Linked DNA regions of Saccharomyces cerevisiae S288C. The protein of the gene in region 1 interacts with the protein of each later gene in a biochemical or structural test. Each region holds a gene or a part of one and is shown on either strand. Other genes may lie near its edges. The genes, in order: TUP1, DAL80, RDR1 and MOT3.

Region 1 (4,692 bases):
GTAAGATGATGCAACCACACTTAACGAAATTAATTCAGGCTTATCCAGATGTAAGATTTGTCAAGTGCGACGTGGACGAATCACCAGATATTGCCAAAGAGTGTGAAGTGACGGCTATGCCCACCTTTGTTCTTGGCAAGGATGGCCAACTCATCGGCAAGATCATTGGAGCTAACCCTACTGCTTTAGAGAAGGGAATCAAAGATCTATAAATTTTATATTCATGAGCACATGTAGTTTTTTTTTTTTTAGTTTTAAATATAAGAAAAAAGATAGTATATATATATATATATATACATATACATATAAAAGGAAAGTAAGCTTATACAATACACAAATAAATTCATATCAAAGAATAATGAACCGCAATATTCAGAAACACAGGAAAAGGAGGGGAAGGGATGAATGGTGAGGAAAGTAACTGTTTGTTTTAAAGCGTACCTGGATCATAACATAACAAATAAGTAGATAAAAAAGAATAGAGAGAAAGATATAATGACAATGAATTGAAGAATAGTTTAGTTAGTTACATTTGTAAAGTGTTCCTTTTGTGTTCTGTTCTTAATTTGGCGCTATTTTTTTATACTTCCAAATCCTTGCTTTACAATCACCGCTACCAGTAGCAAAAACGTTATATTCTGGACCCAGCGGAGACCCGTTTGCCACAGCCACAGATATAACTGAATTCCTATGACCTTGCAACATCAATAACGGATTGCCGGATTTCTTATCCCAAAACAGGACACCACGATCTTTGGAACCGGACAAGATGTACTCATCATTTTGTGTGGTGGCCACGGACAATACAAAGTCTTTATGCCCGATATACGTAACTTCACAAGTGCCGGAATTTGGAGTTTTCGAATCGCTCTTGTTGTTTGCATTCTGCAAATTCCAGAGCTTAACAGATCTATCTAATGAGCCGGATACAACGCTTTGTCCATCTCTAGTGAAGACAACGCTATAAACAGAGTCCTTGTGGCCTGTACCGGATTCGTTTTCCGAATCTAGTCTTTCCACCAAGAATCCGGTCTCGGAATCCCAAACTCTCACAGCACGATCTAGAGAACCAGCAGCGATGTATTTACCATCACCTGGTGATACAGCGACGGTGGTAACACCATCTTCAATGGATAAAGTCAATGAACACTGGCCTGTACGTAAGTCCCAAATACGAACGGTACGGTCACCAGAACCGGAGACTAATTTGTCACCTGAGGGAAAGTAGTCCAATGAATAAATATCTTGTTCGTGGCCTTGAAGAATCATAACAATCTTTCTATTTTCAATATCCCAAATTCTAATCAGTCTGTCTTCAGCACCTGTTGCCAAAAATTTCCCATCTGGAGAAAAACACACTGAACGGATATACAAGTCGGATGATGGGGAAGACGAAGTGTTCAGGTTTTCCACATCTTTTGCCAATTCTGCTGCCGAAGTCATCGCTGTGGTAGTAATTGTGGTGGTAGTAGTGGTTGTCATTGTATTGTTATCCGTGGACGTGGTGGTGTTATTTTCAGTGATCGAATTTCGATGGTTATTGGCAGCAGAATCGTCAGATAGACGGGCCACCAGAGAACCATCTGAAACGCGATACACTTGAGTAGTTTTGTTGCAGCCTGTGGCTAAGTATTCACCATCGTTACTGAACTTCACGCAACAAACAACTGAAGTATGATCCAAAGATTTGTGTAACTCAACGTCAATTTCTCTTGGTAGTGCCGGGTTGTATAAAATATAATAATCATTTGTTTGCTTCTTCAGAGCATCGGGAACAGACTGGGAATCTAGATCCAAAAGGAAAGGTGGGATAGGTTTAGAGTGGTTTGCTCTTTGATTATAAGGGACTAAGTAGTGATCCTGGTGCAAACTAGCCGGGGTGGCGTCTTCCTCCTTAGGTTTGATTTCAGTTTCAGTTGCGGTGGTAGTGGTGGCCGTGGTGGCGGATCCGGTGTCATTTATCTTCGAGGTATTATTATTTTCCGGTTCAGTTTCTTTCAACGTAGATTCAGGTGCCTTGACAGAGGGTAAAGTAGTGGTCTCTTTAGAAGTAGGAGATCCGTTGATGGCTGTGTTACTCAATGGTGCCACGGAAACCTGGGGAGGTGGTTGCTGTTGTTGAAGTTGCTGCTGTTGCAGTTGCTGTTGTGGTAGTTGTTGTTGGGCGTTTGAGGACACCACAGGCAAAGTGGTGGTAGGCAACTGTGAGCCAACCAGATTAGGACGGCTAGCTTGTACTGGGAAGGCCGATGGCGAACCAGTAGTTGTGTTTGCTGCTGGAGTGGCGGTGGCCGAAGTAGTAGCCGGTGGTTGTTGCGCAACTGGAACAGATGCAGATGCAGCGGCTAGCTGCTGCTGTTGCTGTTGTAAATGCTGCTGGACCTGTTGCTGCTGTTGCTGTTGCCGCTGTTGCTGGACGGTCAAAGATGCAATTTGATGGTCTCTTTGCTCCAGCCCTAGTTTCAAGTGCTTGATCTCTTCTTCGTACGCGTCCTTCATTTTCCTGTGAGTTAGTTCCAGTTCGTAGACGGTGTTTCTTATCTGCTGCATCTCAGCCAGCTGCTGGTTCATTTTGAAATCGTAATCCTTTTGGTTTTGAAGACGGTAGGTATTTGCCTCTTGTGAGACTTGGAGAAACTCCTGTCTGATGGCATCGAGAAGCTCATTCAGCTTATTCTGCGTATTCGAAACGCTGGCAGTCATATTGGTTTGGATGGAAAGCTGATTTCTTTCTTCCCCTGCTTATCAAAAAAGACAAAAAAACAATAGAAAAAGAGTAGTGGTGTGCGAAAGGTAACTTGGCGTGAAAGAAAATTAAACAATTGCAGAAGGACAGATAGAGGGGCACGTGTTCAGCCAGTTGTTCTTGCTTCGCTGATGTTTATCAATTGGGGGTAGATGGGGGAATTTCTCTCTATTTGTTTACTTATGTACTTGTTATTTTGTTTTGTTGTTTGTTGCTTTGACGGGAGAGCTTTTTAATTTTTTCGCAGTTTTTCAGTGTTTTTTGAAAAGTACGAAAAATTAAGGTCCGTCGGTAGCGATAATGTAAGAGGGTTCTGTCTCTAAAAATGTTAGGGTGAAAGTTCCAAAAAATTATTAACTCCTAGATTGCTCAGCCAAAAAGAAGGGTAAATTAGGGCTTTCCTGGTTTATTTATTTGTTTATGTTGTTCTTATATACATATGTTTATGTCTTTTTATGTACAAATAATGATGTTTACAATGAAACATCTGTTATGCTATCAAAAACGTCAGCGCATTGTTTTATAGCTGAAGAAGTTACAACGGATAACGGTCTGATTTGCGGCCTGGCAATGCTTGGTAAAACTAAATATCAATTTTACGAATTATTTACTGTATATAGTATTCAGTCCCTCACTCAACTGGCGTCAAGAGTGAAGAAGGGCGGCCTCATTATGGCTCGCCTTATTCTGTTCACCCTCTGCGCTCTTCCCGTATTATTTCATTTTATTTTGTTTATGCTTCAATATCTTGTATTTGTTTACATTGAAAAATGATTGGAAAAAGGTCACATTGAAATCAAAACAGTGAAGAAGCAGACAGACAAGAAGGTCATTAGATAGATAAACAGGAACAATAAAAAAAAGAAAGCGAAACAAGACAATCCAACGTGCGCAAAATGGATCCATTGACTGTATACAAAAACTCAGTGAAACAACAGATCGATTCCGCAGACTTACTAGTGGCAAATTTGGTAAATGAGAATTTCGTACTGTCGGAGAAGCTGGATACAAAAGCAACCGAGATCAAACAGCTGCAGAAGCAGATAGACTCGCTAAACGCACAAGTCAAGGAGCTGAAGACTCAGACTTCCCAACAGGCAGAAAATTCAGAAGTCATAAAGGACCTTTACGAGTACCTCTGTAACGTACGTGTACATAAAAGCTACGAGGATGATTCTGGGTTGTGGTTCGACATCTCGCAGGGCACCCACTCAGGGGGATCTTCCGATGATTATTCGATAATGGACTATAAACTCGGATTTGTCAAGGGCCAGGCCCAAGTCACAGAAGTCATATATGCGCCCGTTCTTAAACAGCGATCCACCGAGGAACTATACTCGCTACAGTCGAAACTACCGGAATACCTCTTCGAAACGTTGAGTTTCCCCCTCTCGTCGCTAAACCAATTCTATAACAAAATCGCTAAAAGCCTGAATAAGAAAAGAGAGAAAAAAGATGAAACCGAGTAAGCTGCTACATAATGTCTATATATCTACACATAAAATTCCGATTATTCCTTTGCATACCTGATTTGCCCCTCAGAATCCACAACCAGACTTTTCAAGAAGGTCTTTTTTGCCCCTTTATCCTTCATGGTTTTCAAAATTTTGTACAACGACTTGCCCTTGTGAAGCTCGATACCGTTCGAGGTCTTTTCCACTTTCTCTGCCTTCTTGATCACAGGCTTCTCCACTTTCTTTGCAGGAGTTGCCACTGGCTGGTGCTGGTGCTGCTTCTGCTGCTGCTTCTGCTGCTGCTTCTGCTTCTGCTTCTTGTTGCCCTTGTACAACGCTTTCTGGTACTTCTCGTCCTCGCTGATGCAAGACGTGTGATTCTTGTAACTCACGCCATCTTCAAACGTCTTGGAGCAATCTATGCATGTATAGTACGCGTTAGGACATCTATAATAATGCTTTTCGGTATTCTTCTTGGGCACAGTATCATTA
Region 2 (3,153 bases), on another chromosome or scaffold:
ATCGTCAGGTTCGTCAATTAAGTCTTGTAAATGTTTCATTTTGACGTTATCTATATTAAACTCAGATATTTCAGAAGATGATAAAGTTTCTAACGATGTAATGTTGCTGCCATTATCGTTATTGTTATTTTCCGATGTATGAGGAGCTGAGGCTGCAGAGGATGGTTTATTTTCTGCTTTTTTCTCCATTACATTTCTTTCTTTAACCATTTCTTTATAATGGGGGAAATGCGGAAGTTGTAACGAATGATATCTGTTGTTATCACTATAAAGCTTGCTTATAGTGAGTTGTTGGAACGCGACGATTTTCAATTTGTGATGTAGTGATTTGATATCTTTATAACTTCTTATAATAGACCATTTGAGCCTGTCTTCATCAATCCCATATTCCAAGTGTATTCTAAATAAAGAGTTTTCGTTCCTGCTATACATAAATTCCGCCACATTCGAAGAAATGCTTATAATGCTGGAGCTCCTTGGAATAGAGGGTCTCCTATCAGAATTCTCGCCAGTATTGTTGTTGTTGTTACCACGATGGTTATGGTTGCTATTGGTAATATCCAAAATGTTGTTGTCATTTTTCAAGGGAGACACTCTTACATCTAGTTTAGCTAATAGCAGAGGAGCCCTTCTCTTCCCATGTTCGTCTCTCAGAAATTGCGTGCTTGCGAACAATGAGGCCGGGCATCCTGCCAATAACGAATCTAATAAATCAGAGGCTAGTCTTTGTGTGTACAAATCTTCTTCGTTTACTTGTTGATGCTGGTGCTGGTTATGACGATGGCCGCTTCCAGCCGGTGTAGGAGAATTTACGCTGGATTTCAGTCTACCAATAGCAGAGATTTTCTTAAAAGCGTGGCCAAACTCTTTCTTCCAGCCATTGAACTGCTGTTGGGTGTAAGCTACAGAAGAAGAACGCCTTTGAGGGGCTCTTTCTTCCTCTCTTTTAGAATTCCGCTTAGAATGAACATTATTGTTACTGCTATGGAGATTGTTGTAGAGCCGGTGCATATTTTCCTCATCAGAACCTCGACGAGGATCATGTTCATTAGAGTGCATAATATGGTCTAATGAGTGGTTCGGTGACACATCACTCAGGTTTCTATCTACAAAGGATTTGGGCAATGCATGCTTCCTCTCCGCCTCCTTGCCGTTGGGAGTTCTTCGTTTTTCTCTTTGTAAACTGCTAGTCAGATTGCCATTCTCAGGTAATTGCCGCAATACTTCTTGGTTTTCTAACTCATCTGGTCTCGAATTTACTCTATCTACTTCTTCAGTCACCGATCTATCTGCCTGAGGTGGAGCGAAGTGAGTTCCAGACGCTGTTGACACGTTAGACATCACCCTTGTTTATCTATCCTACCTTTTCTTCTTGCGTACGTGCCTCTCAATGCGTCGTGTGAATTATCAGTGACCGGTCGTGCCTATAATGTCCTGCTAATTTCCCACTAAATCTTTCCCCATGGCGTATTCATCGTTATGTTTGTGTCTTTTGTTCAACCCAAAGGGCTGTAGCAATCTTCACCCGTTTGTCGTTGATAACGAGTTTCCACCTTATCACTTATCACTAGTGCTAATCAAACAGCAAAGAATGCTTGATAGAAACCGATCCTGGGCTTATCTCGCTGCATTGTGGCGGCATCCCTGGACTGTAATCAGCAAGTGTTGCTTAGTATATATATACATCCAGCGTCAGCTTGAATTTGGATACAGTTACTGTTTTTTCGATTTTCTCTTGGTTATTCTTTCTGAGACAGTAGTAATTTTGTATTACTGAGCGGGATATTGTTTATCTGCCGTCATACTATATTACATTATATTATATCATATTATATATAAGAGAATGGTGCTTAGTGATTCGTTGAAGCTGCCCTCGCCTACACTTTCAGCTGCTGCTGGAGTGGATGATTGTGACGGAGAGGACCACCCCACGTGCCAGAATTGTTTCACTGTCAAAACGCCCCTATGGAGAAGAGATGAACACGGTACTGTTCTCTGTAATGCATGTGGCCTCTTCCTGAAGTTGCACGGGGAACCAAGGCCTATCAGCTTGAAGACGGACACCATTAAGTCAAGAAATAGGAAAAAGCTGAATAACAACAATGTGAACACTAATGCCAATACCCATTCTAACGACCCAAATAAAATATTCAAGAGAAAGAAGAGACTGCTTACAACTGGTGGTGGTTCATTACCTACGAATAATCCGAAGGTTTCTATTCTGGAAAAGTTTATGGTGAGCGGGTCCATTAAGCCACTGTTAAAACCAAAGGAAACCGTTCCCAACACAAAGGAGTGCTCCACGCAGCGGGGAAAATTTTCTTTGGACCCCTGCGAACCTAGTGGGAAAAACTACCTCTATCAGATCAACGGTTCAGATATATACACGTCAAATATAGAGCTGACAAGGCTGCCTAATTTGTCAACATTATTAGAACCCTCACCTTTTTCAGATTCCGCTGTACCAGAAATAGAACTAACTTGGAAGCTACATAATGAGGAGGAGGTAATCAAATTGAAGACCAAGATAAGCGAATTGGAGTTGGTGACAGACCTATACAAAAAGCACATATTCCAACTGAACGAAAAATGCAAGCAACTGGAAGTGGAACTACACTCCAGAGCTTCAGTACAATCTCACCCACAACATTAAGAAAGGATGTAGCGTTCATGACAGTATAAATATAACAGGATATAGTATATAAAATTTAATATGATTTAGTGACACTTATTTTTACGCGAACGGGTAACACACTGCCATTTATCTGGTGCTGGAAAATTGCCCCTAAAGAAATGATAAGAATGAAAACGAATCAATGTGAAAGCAGTTTGATGAGATGTGAGCTACTTTGAAAGTATAGGAAGTCAGACATCGCACTGAGAAATGTCACGTAATTCTGCAGCAGGTTTGGAAAACACTCTTTTCCAACTAAAGTTTACATCAAAACAATTACAAAAGCAAGCCAATAAAGCCTCAAAGGAAGAAAAACAGGAAACTAATAAGCTCAAACGTGCTCTTAATGAAAATGAAGATATATCTCGTATATATGCATCCAATGCTATAAGAAAGAAAAATGAAAGATTACAACTGTTGAAGTTGGCATCACGGGTGGATTCGGTCGCATCAAGGGTACAAACCGCCGTCACGATGAG
Region 3 (3,783 bases), on another chromosome or scaffold:
TGCTGATGATAAGATCTAGAGAACTCTTCAGGGATGTTTTTCTACATACGTTCTAAGCTTTCCCACCTACACTAAACCAAATACTAATAAAGTGTATAAAAATTTCCGGACCACTCAAACAAAATTTCGCTCAGCAATACTTCAAATCTTGACTTGCTTTTATTTTTATCTTTCGGTTTTCCACCTGACGTTATCAACTTTTCTTTAATGAATTGAACTTCCAAGCTTTAACACTGTTCCTGAGCCTCTTGAGTATTGACATAAACAGTCAGACCTTCTCTCGTATTTTTATAGATCGAACTTGAACCATCAATTTGGTGCAATGCAGTGCAATTTGCATTTGGTTCAGACACTATGTCCAAGAAAAGAATATAATATCAGTCAAGGTTTCACCCCTCATTCCAGGCGTGACGGGATTTCTTTAAATTTCCTATTTTCAAATACCGGATATATTACTTTCTGCGCAATTATCAAAGATAAAATATAGTAAGCAGGTATTAAACATCAATTCCATTCCCTCTAATTATAAATCAATTTGCTTCTCGATACACATAATCTATAATACTCTTTTACATAAAGTTTAACGTGTCTGATGGATCTAGCAAAGCATCCCAGTCAATATCGAGTAGGTGAGTAGTTTCAAGATTAGATCTCTGGTGAGTTGCCTGCTCAAGCTGCTGAATTTCTTGTCTTTTTTTTTTCATGGAATCCTCAAGAAGCAGTTTTGCGGTCTTTTGTGCTTCAAAAGCAATACGTGTACCGAGAATTTGAGTAATATTATCTAACGTTTTCATGGCAGTAGCAACATGTGAAAGACTTTCCGGTGTGTCGATGGCAAGAAGGACACAGACGTACTGGAATGAGGTGCTCAACACATTCCACCATGCTTGATCCAGTTTTACAAGAGCGTATGCTGCTGATAGCGCAGTGTTGCCGATATCAATTATTTGTAAAACAACATTTTTATCAAGAATATGATTCAGCAAACGAAGTCTTCTATACAAAGAGAGGCATATATCACCCTTGGTCAACGACAAAAACGGATGTGCGTTTGGTGATTCATGAACGGCCGCCAGGGCCTGCAACAATTGCGCTGCGTTTGCGTTCACGCTGTCTTGGGGAATCAGGTGTGCTAACGCGACTAAATGAGCTGTAAAATTACCGTCCGTCTCCTTAACTGGCTTGCAAGTAATTCTATTCAGCGTAACACTTGAGCGCCCATAGTCATATGAAAGAATGGTATTGATTGACCATGCACACCAAAATAATCTTCTAGTGTGTTCGCTCACTACAGTAGTTCTTTTTGGTGGAACGTTGTTCGATATCGCTATATCCTCTCTGTCAATCTCATGATGCAGGCCAATTGCCTCAGAAAGATGGATGGTTACGCAGCTAGCTAACCATGCTACATGGGGCCTCGAAGTGGCTCGCAGGTAAATGGTGCGCAAAACCCATGCGGAGACTTGCTCCACCGTGGGAATGCGACTGAAAGTCGGGTCATCAAGGATCCCTTTGGCATATTGTACTATATCCATCTCTCGGGGATGGCCAAGACTTCCCATAAAAAATGATCCTAAAGCTATCACCCCTGCAATAACAGCCCCATACTCTAAGGTTTTTACGTCGCCATCCCAGTATTTTTCAACATTCTTTGCCAGTTGCTCTGGATTAACAACATCAAATATCGGGTGAACAACTGAAAAATAAACTTTTGAGATACGGTAATACTCTTCCTTTGTAACTAAATCAGAAAGAAGGACATGTGAGTTTGGATTTTCTTCCGGTCTGATTCCGCAATGCCAAGCGAAGGAATGTAGGCGTGGAGGATTAGTTGATCGGAGTTCGAGACCAAGACAGCGGGGGAAAGCAACTGCAGAGTGCTGGATCGTGTACCTAGACTTAGTTGGATCTACAATGTTTTGACTTGTAACGTTCTGTGTATTTATAGGCTGCGGTTGTTCGTTTCTATGTATACCCGGAAGAACAAAAGGTCTGCTCTCCGTATCAGGAGATGTTTCACCTACTTGTTGCACTTGAGGTGATGCCGAAGGGACACGACCGTCAATATAATGACATACATATCCATAGGCAACGCACATTTCACATGGAGATTTGCCATTACATTTCCTTTTACGTTCCCTACAGGGCACGCAAGCCTTTCGGACTCTTTGTCGCTTGTGTGGTAATGCTGTCGATCCTGGGGATGCCATTTGGTGAGCTTAAAGTAGGAAAGTGTGCGCTAAGTTATCTTACTGAAGTTCTTTCAGGTTTCTACTTGAAAAAATAATGTATCTTTTCACTCGAGAATGGCCTCTTGTAATTTTCATATTTATCGCACGATACGGGATATACTGGCTCCTCTCTATCACTTTGATCGTACTATATTTATTTCTATTAGTTTGGGTTATATACCACGATGAAGTATTTCTCTATATATGAACTTATTCTATAAAATGCTGCTTTTCGGAGATCCTTTTTTTAGACTTCATAAAAGTGCTCCATGCATACGTTGCTGCGACAAAAATGCCAAGTCCGCTCAACCCGATGCCCATGTACCACGAACAACGATATCCTTTCAAAGGCTTGGCACCTCCGTCATTTACTCTAGATTCAATTGTACCTGCAATACCCAAACCTATCGATATCGAATAGTTTACCACCGTATTAACCAAAGAGGCTGCAAGACCTTGATGTTCGTGTGGCATCGAGTCACTAAGCATTATTGTAGCGGCCGGAAAGGACATGTCCATTCCCCAAGGCATAACAATGATTGACACAAACGTTTGAGCCCAATACGTTTGGTGAACGGGGGCCGTAGCAATCAATATAGTTCCGACTGTGAAAGCTGTCATCGCAAAAAGCATAACTGTGCTTGGGGGTGTATGGCTTAGAAGGAAACCTGTCGTCACGGCTGCACAAAATCCACTGATTGCTACAGGTGAAAACTGTGCACTAGAAAGAAGGGGGGTTTGGCCCCTTGAGTCTTCCATGAACTGCCATGTATAGAATATCCAAATACCAAAGCTGGCCCATCCCGCAGCTATGCAGCTAAGTACAAAAGCAGTATCACTAGAAAGAGCAGCAAATGGTAGCAGAGGGAAAGCTGCTCGGGACTCGATATATGCAAAAATAACCAAGAAAAAGGTACCAACTATCAAAAGAGCGTATGTGTATGGAGTTTGCCAACCCACAACGGGGCCTTGGTTCCAAGCGAAATTAAAGAGAATTAATCCAACAACGCCGGTAACTGACCCTGCAAAATCGATTCGTTCCAACAACTTGAAAGATGAGGCATCGCGGCTTGGCATGGGGGTGTGAGGGATTACAAAGTAACCTGCTACAGCTAAAACAAAGCATGCAATACCCATTATCCAGTAAGCCCATGGCCACCACGCCAGTTGACCCAACATGGATGAGAAAACAGCCCCAAGGAAGAAGCCACCAGGTGCTGAAGCACCAAACAGACTAAAGACCATGTTTTTTCTTCTTCCTGGCTTATATGTGCGTCCGAGAATCGCAATGGCATTTGGCAACAAAAAGGCCGGACCCATGCCTTGAAATGCACGACAGCAGTCAAAAAAAATCTGATTAGAGTAGACGCTAAACCCAGCAAGTAAGGACCAAAGTGCGTACCAAAAGAAGCCAAGGACAAAGAATTTCTTGTGTCCGAAGATATCTCCGAGTCTTCCAGCAATTAAAATGAATGTACCAACAGTTAGCGAATATGCGGAAGCAAACCAACTAAGTTGTCCAGCATTCGTTGTTCCAAAACTGTTACCGATG
Region 4 (3,668 bases), on another chromosome or scaffold:
GCGTATATGGTAGATGGTTTGGATATATCAACATAATCTTGTGTATTGCACTCGGGATAGCGAATCTGTTCCACGTTAGTGGGGTGATAGCTTTTGGTATCATTAGTATAATCCAAGGGTTAGTGATCCTATTCATTGAAATACCATTTTTGTTGAAAATCTGTCCCCTTAGCGATAATTTCATTGAATTCATCAAGAGATTTGAAACAAATGGATGGAGATGTCTTTTCTATCTAGCAATGGCGATAATCCAGTATATTTCCATTGCAGTGATGGCTACGAGTCTAATTGTGGTAGCTGTCGGGCTAACGATATCGTCAATCAGTTATGCGGTAGCATATACTAAACACCAAGAGTTCCAGAATACGAACATTATCAAAAATCCTACAGATGACGATTTCCCTCACGAGGCCGTTGTTAGAGAGATGTTGTAATCAGTTCCGTACCATACATAAACTATATGTATATAATGTATATATGCATAATTACTTTCTAAATTTGTGATTATTACTATTATCTTGATTGTTAAATGAGTGGGAAGGGATATTTTGTGTGTCTATAAAGTCTATCTATTTGTTGTGACTAACAATAAGGTTATTCAAAACACGTTTAACGTCGTCCTTATTCAGTACACCATCATTGATTAAAGTCTTGATGTTTGTATCGTAACCGTTTCCATCTTCATTTTCGGGAGCTGTTGCTGCTGCCGCCGCGGCACCGGCACCGCCACTGCCGCTAGCGCTATTGCTGTTATTATTATTATTATTGTCGTTGTTATTATTAGAGGAGGAAGAATTGTTGTAGTTAAAGATGATGTTGTTTTTCTTGAGTTCGTCTAATAAATAATTTGTATGCTTGAGTTTCATATGCTGTAAAAGATTATCTTTTCTCTTCTGCCTGCTTAAGCACCAAGGGCATAGAAAATGTCTTTGTTGCGAGTGTGACAATAGGTGCCTTTTCAACCATGATTTTCTTTTGAAAGACTTCTCACAAAATTGGCATTGATGGATATATTTATGGTCTGATGATGGGGCAGGAACCAAGTTCGAGGCCACAGGGTTCGAAGAAGGCACCGGCGCAGGGGGATGGTTAGGTGCTGTCGTAGGACGTGGTTGCGGCATAGTGTTTATTTTCCAACCAGGAGGTAGATGCAGAGGTTGTGCCGGGTTAATATTGAGATTCAAATTTGGAGAAGGGTTTTGTTGTAGTTGGAATTGAAATTGATCCGTTATTATCGTTGGATGGTGCTGAGGAGCGTTGTTTGTATTTACAGCACCACCATTGTTGAGGTTGTTGTGTGTATTACTATGATGGTGATGGTGATGGGGTGGACCGGGGGCCGGGGCTGGGGCTGAGTGAGAAGAGTTGTTGCTGCCATTGTTAGCGGCGTTATTACCATTGTTATTGCTGTTAACTGCTGAATAGTAATGGCTTATGTATGAAGCAGGATTGAACATATATTGTTGATCCTGTTGCGGTATTGGCATATTCGCAGTGGGGAAGGAGTAATAAGCAGCCGCTGCAGCATTTGAGTTCATATTTGCGGCCGCAGTAAACTGGTTTGGGTGAATATTATTGTTATTATTGTTGTTATTATTATTATTATTGTTATTATTGCTAGTACTGTTGTTTGCGACAGTGTAATCAGAAGCAGAAATATTGCTGTTGTTGCTGTTGTTGCTGTTGTTATGGACAATCGGCGACGCAGACATATTGTTACCAGCCGTCACATTATTGTTGTTACTGTTATTACTTGTATACTGATAGTAAGGGTATATATACTGCTGCTGATGTAAGGGCATTGGAAGTTCTCTTGCCCCAGAGTTCACCATAACGTCGTCCTTGTTAGAGGAAACAGTAGTCGTGTTGAAAGGCTGTGACGCCAGCGAATCGCTGCCGATATTGTTAGTGTTCGACACATTTTGTAATATCGTGTGCTGCTGCTGTTGATGCTGATGCTGATGCTGTTGTTGTTGATGCTGTTGTTGTTGATGCTGTTGTCGCTGTTGCTGCTGCTGTTGCAGGTGATGGTCCGCATTCATTGCTCAAATATGATATGTCCCTTTACTATTTGCCTACTGTTGCCTATTAGTTTTCCTTCTGTTAAATCTTTTCTTGTACCTGTTCCTTCTTGAGGAATTGTTTTGTTCAAGTTTTCTTCCAAAAAAAATTCCTTTTTTTTCTTTTTTTTTTTGATTGCTACAAGGCCTTAATTCCTATTATTTGTTTCTATTTTTTCTCTCTTTTTTCGTAATTCTTCTTTAACTTTACATCAAAAGAGAGACAAAGTTTAGTAAATCCAGACGGAGTAGTAGTATAAATACTATCCAGCGCAGATCATGACAGGATGATGCGCCTTGGTAGGATAAAAAAAAACAACAGCGGAGGCTACAGCACATCTTTTGAGGAAAAAAAAGAAGAAAATCAAGAAGAAAAACGAAAAAACCGGCAATAAACACCGTTATCGCCACTACTCCTTGCCGTGCGCAGTTATCGGAAGGCGCCGAAGGCGGAGAGCAGGGAGCGTTGTTCGGGTCTCCTCAGTCGGAGTCAAGGATTCGAGTCGCGCCGCCGCGTACGTAGTTTTACTTTTAATTTTTTTTTTATCGCGCGTTGTCCCTGTCGGCTTTCACGGCATGTGAAGGCAATATACGTAATAAAGCGGATCGCAGGGCACGACTACACGTCCCCCACCATGTCGCGTGTGACGAATTGTGGGTGATGCTGGTGCGGGTGATCCCGGAGCGCGGTAGAACCCAAGCGCCTCATATAGTCGCCGGGCCCGAGTGTTATCACTGAATACGGTGAGTGCTACACCGAAGAAATTGTCGCACATGCGGCGGGTGTGTCGAGCTACGCCATCGCACAGTGCATGCTCCAGTAGCCGCCGACCGATTCCATGCCCGCGGTGCGCGCTAGCTACATGTACTTCGTAAAGGTATATCACGGGCACGCTAACCTCGTGTAAAGCGTCACCTTCGACGAGACCCGTCTCCTCTGTAAGCATGAATGAAGTAAATGCACCTAGCACGCCGTTGTCCCAGTAACAGACATACACAAGGCCGGCGCTTTTCATCTCTGCGAGTTTGTTTGCCTTCCATGGTTTCCTGTTGCCGTACATAATGCGCGAGGCCCGGCGATACTTGGCGCCCAGGTGCTTGTCTATCAATTGCACACAGGCGTCCAGCACTTGGTCGCCGCGAGATTTGTGCAGCTTGTAGTTTATACACTTGAGGCTGTCAACGCTGTCAATACTGTCAGTGTCATCTTCGGGGATGTAGATAATCTCCCTTTCTAAAATAGCGGTGGTGAAGTTACCGTTTCCATCTGTATCCTTGTGCTCGATGGATTCAGGAAATTTTTCCACGCATAAGTTTAAGAAATGTTGGAACATTGGCGCCATGGCGACCCTCCTTCTTTCTGTTAGGTGCTCCTTCGATGTTCGTATACAGTTGTAAGTGTTCTCACTATATACCGAAGAACGCATCTCAGTGGAAAGAAAAAGAAAAAAGAAAAAGAGCTAAGAAAAAAATCTTTTAATGGCGCGCGCGCACCGCGCATACATATGTGGAAAAAAGGATGCATATAAAAAAAAATACGTAGTAGTCTTCTCAATCTTCTGCACGCGTGTTATTGCTATTTCTTAATTTTGAGATGGGTATGTTCAG

What was found.
Region 2: the proteins of TUP1 (region 1) and DAL80 form a complex in vitro, tested with the Saccharomyces cerevisiae proteins (one study listed by BioGRID).
Region 3: the proteins of TUP1 (region 1) and RDR1 form a complex in vitro, tested with the Saccharomyces cerevisiae proteins (one study listed by BioGRID).
Region 4: the proteins of TUP1 (region 1) and MOT3 form a complex in vitro, tested with the Saccharomyces cerevisiae proteins (one study listed by BioGRID).

The regions. Positions count from the first base shown.
Region 1 is NC_001135.5:259,750-264,441, forward strand, and holds TUP1 (chromatin-silencing transcriptional regulator TUP1), read right to left. Parts: upstream 2,704-4,692; coding exon 562-2,703; downstream 1-561. Other genes in the region: TRX3 (Trx3p), read left to right, coding at 1-212; YCR085W (uncharacterized protein), read left to right, coding at 3,167-3,520; CSM1 (Csm1p), read left to right, coding at 3,643-4,215; YCR087C-A (uncharacterized protein), read right to left, coding at 4,257-4,692. UniProt on the Saccharomyces cerevisiae protein: Acts as a component of the CYC8-TUP1 corepressor complex which is involved in the repression of many genes in a wide variety of physiological processes including heme-regulated and catabolite repressed genes.
Region 2 is NC_001143.9:505,055-508,207, forward strand, and holds DAL80 (Dal80p), read left to right. Parts: upstream 1-1,843; coding exon 1,844-2,653; downstream 2,654-3,153. Other genes in the region: SPO14 (phospholipase D), read right to left, coding at 1-1,341; YKR032W (uncharacterized protein), read left to right, coding at 1,463-1,777; DID2 (Did2p), read left to right, coding at 2,885-3,153. UniProt on the Saccharomyces cerevisiae protein: Negative regulator of multiple nitrogen catabolic genes including the allantoin pathway genes.
Region 3 is NC_001147.6:1,049,717-1,053,499, reverse strand, and holds RDR1 (Rdr1p), read right to left. Parts: upstream 2,211-3,783; coding exon 570-2,210; downstream 1-569. Other genes in the region: AMF1 (Amf1p), read right to left, coding at 2,442-3,783. UniProt on the Saccharomyces cerevisiae protein: Transcriptional repressor of multidrug resistance genes, such as PDR5. Required for growth on non-fermentable carbon sources like lactate or glycerol.
Region 4 is NC_001145.3:407,528-411,195, reverse strand, and holds MOT3 (Mot3p), read right to left. Parts: upstream 2,043-3,668; coding exon 570-2,042; downstream 1-569. Other genes in the region: TVP18 (Tvp18p), read left to right, coding at 1-434; NAT4 (N-terminal L-serine N(alpha)-acetyltransferase NatD), read right to left, coding at 2,630-3,487; AVO2 (Avo2p), read right to left, coding at 3,612-3,668. UniProt on the Saccharomyces cerevisiae protein: Transcription factor that affects the expression of a large set of genes. Recognizes and binds to the consensus sequence 5'-[CAT]AGG[TC]A-3' in the promoter region. Plays a major role in the repression of a specific subset of hypoxic genes (e.g.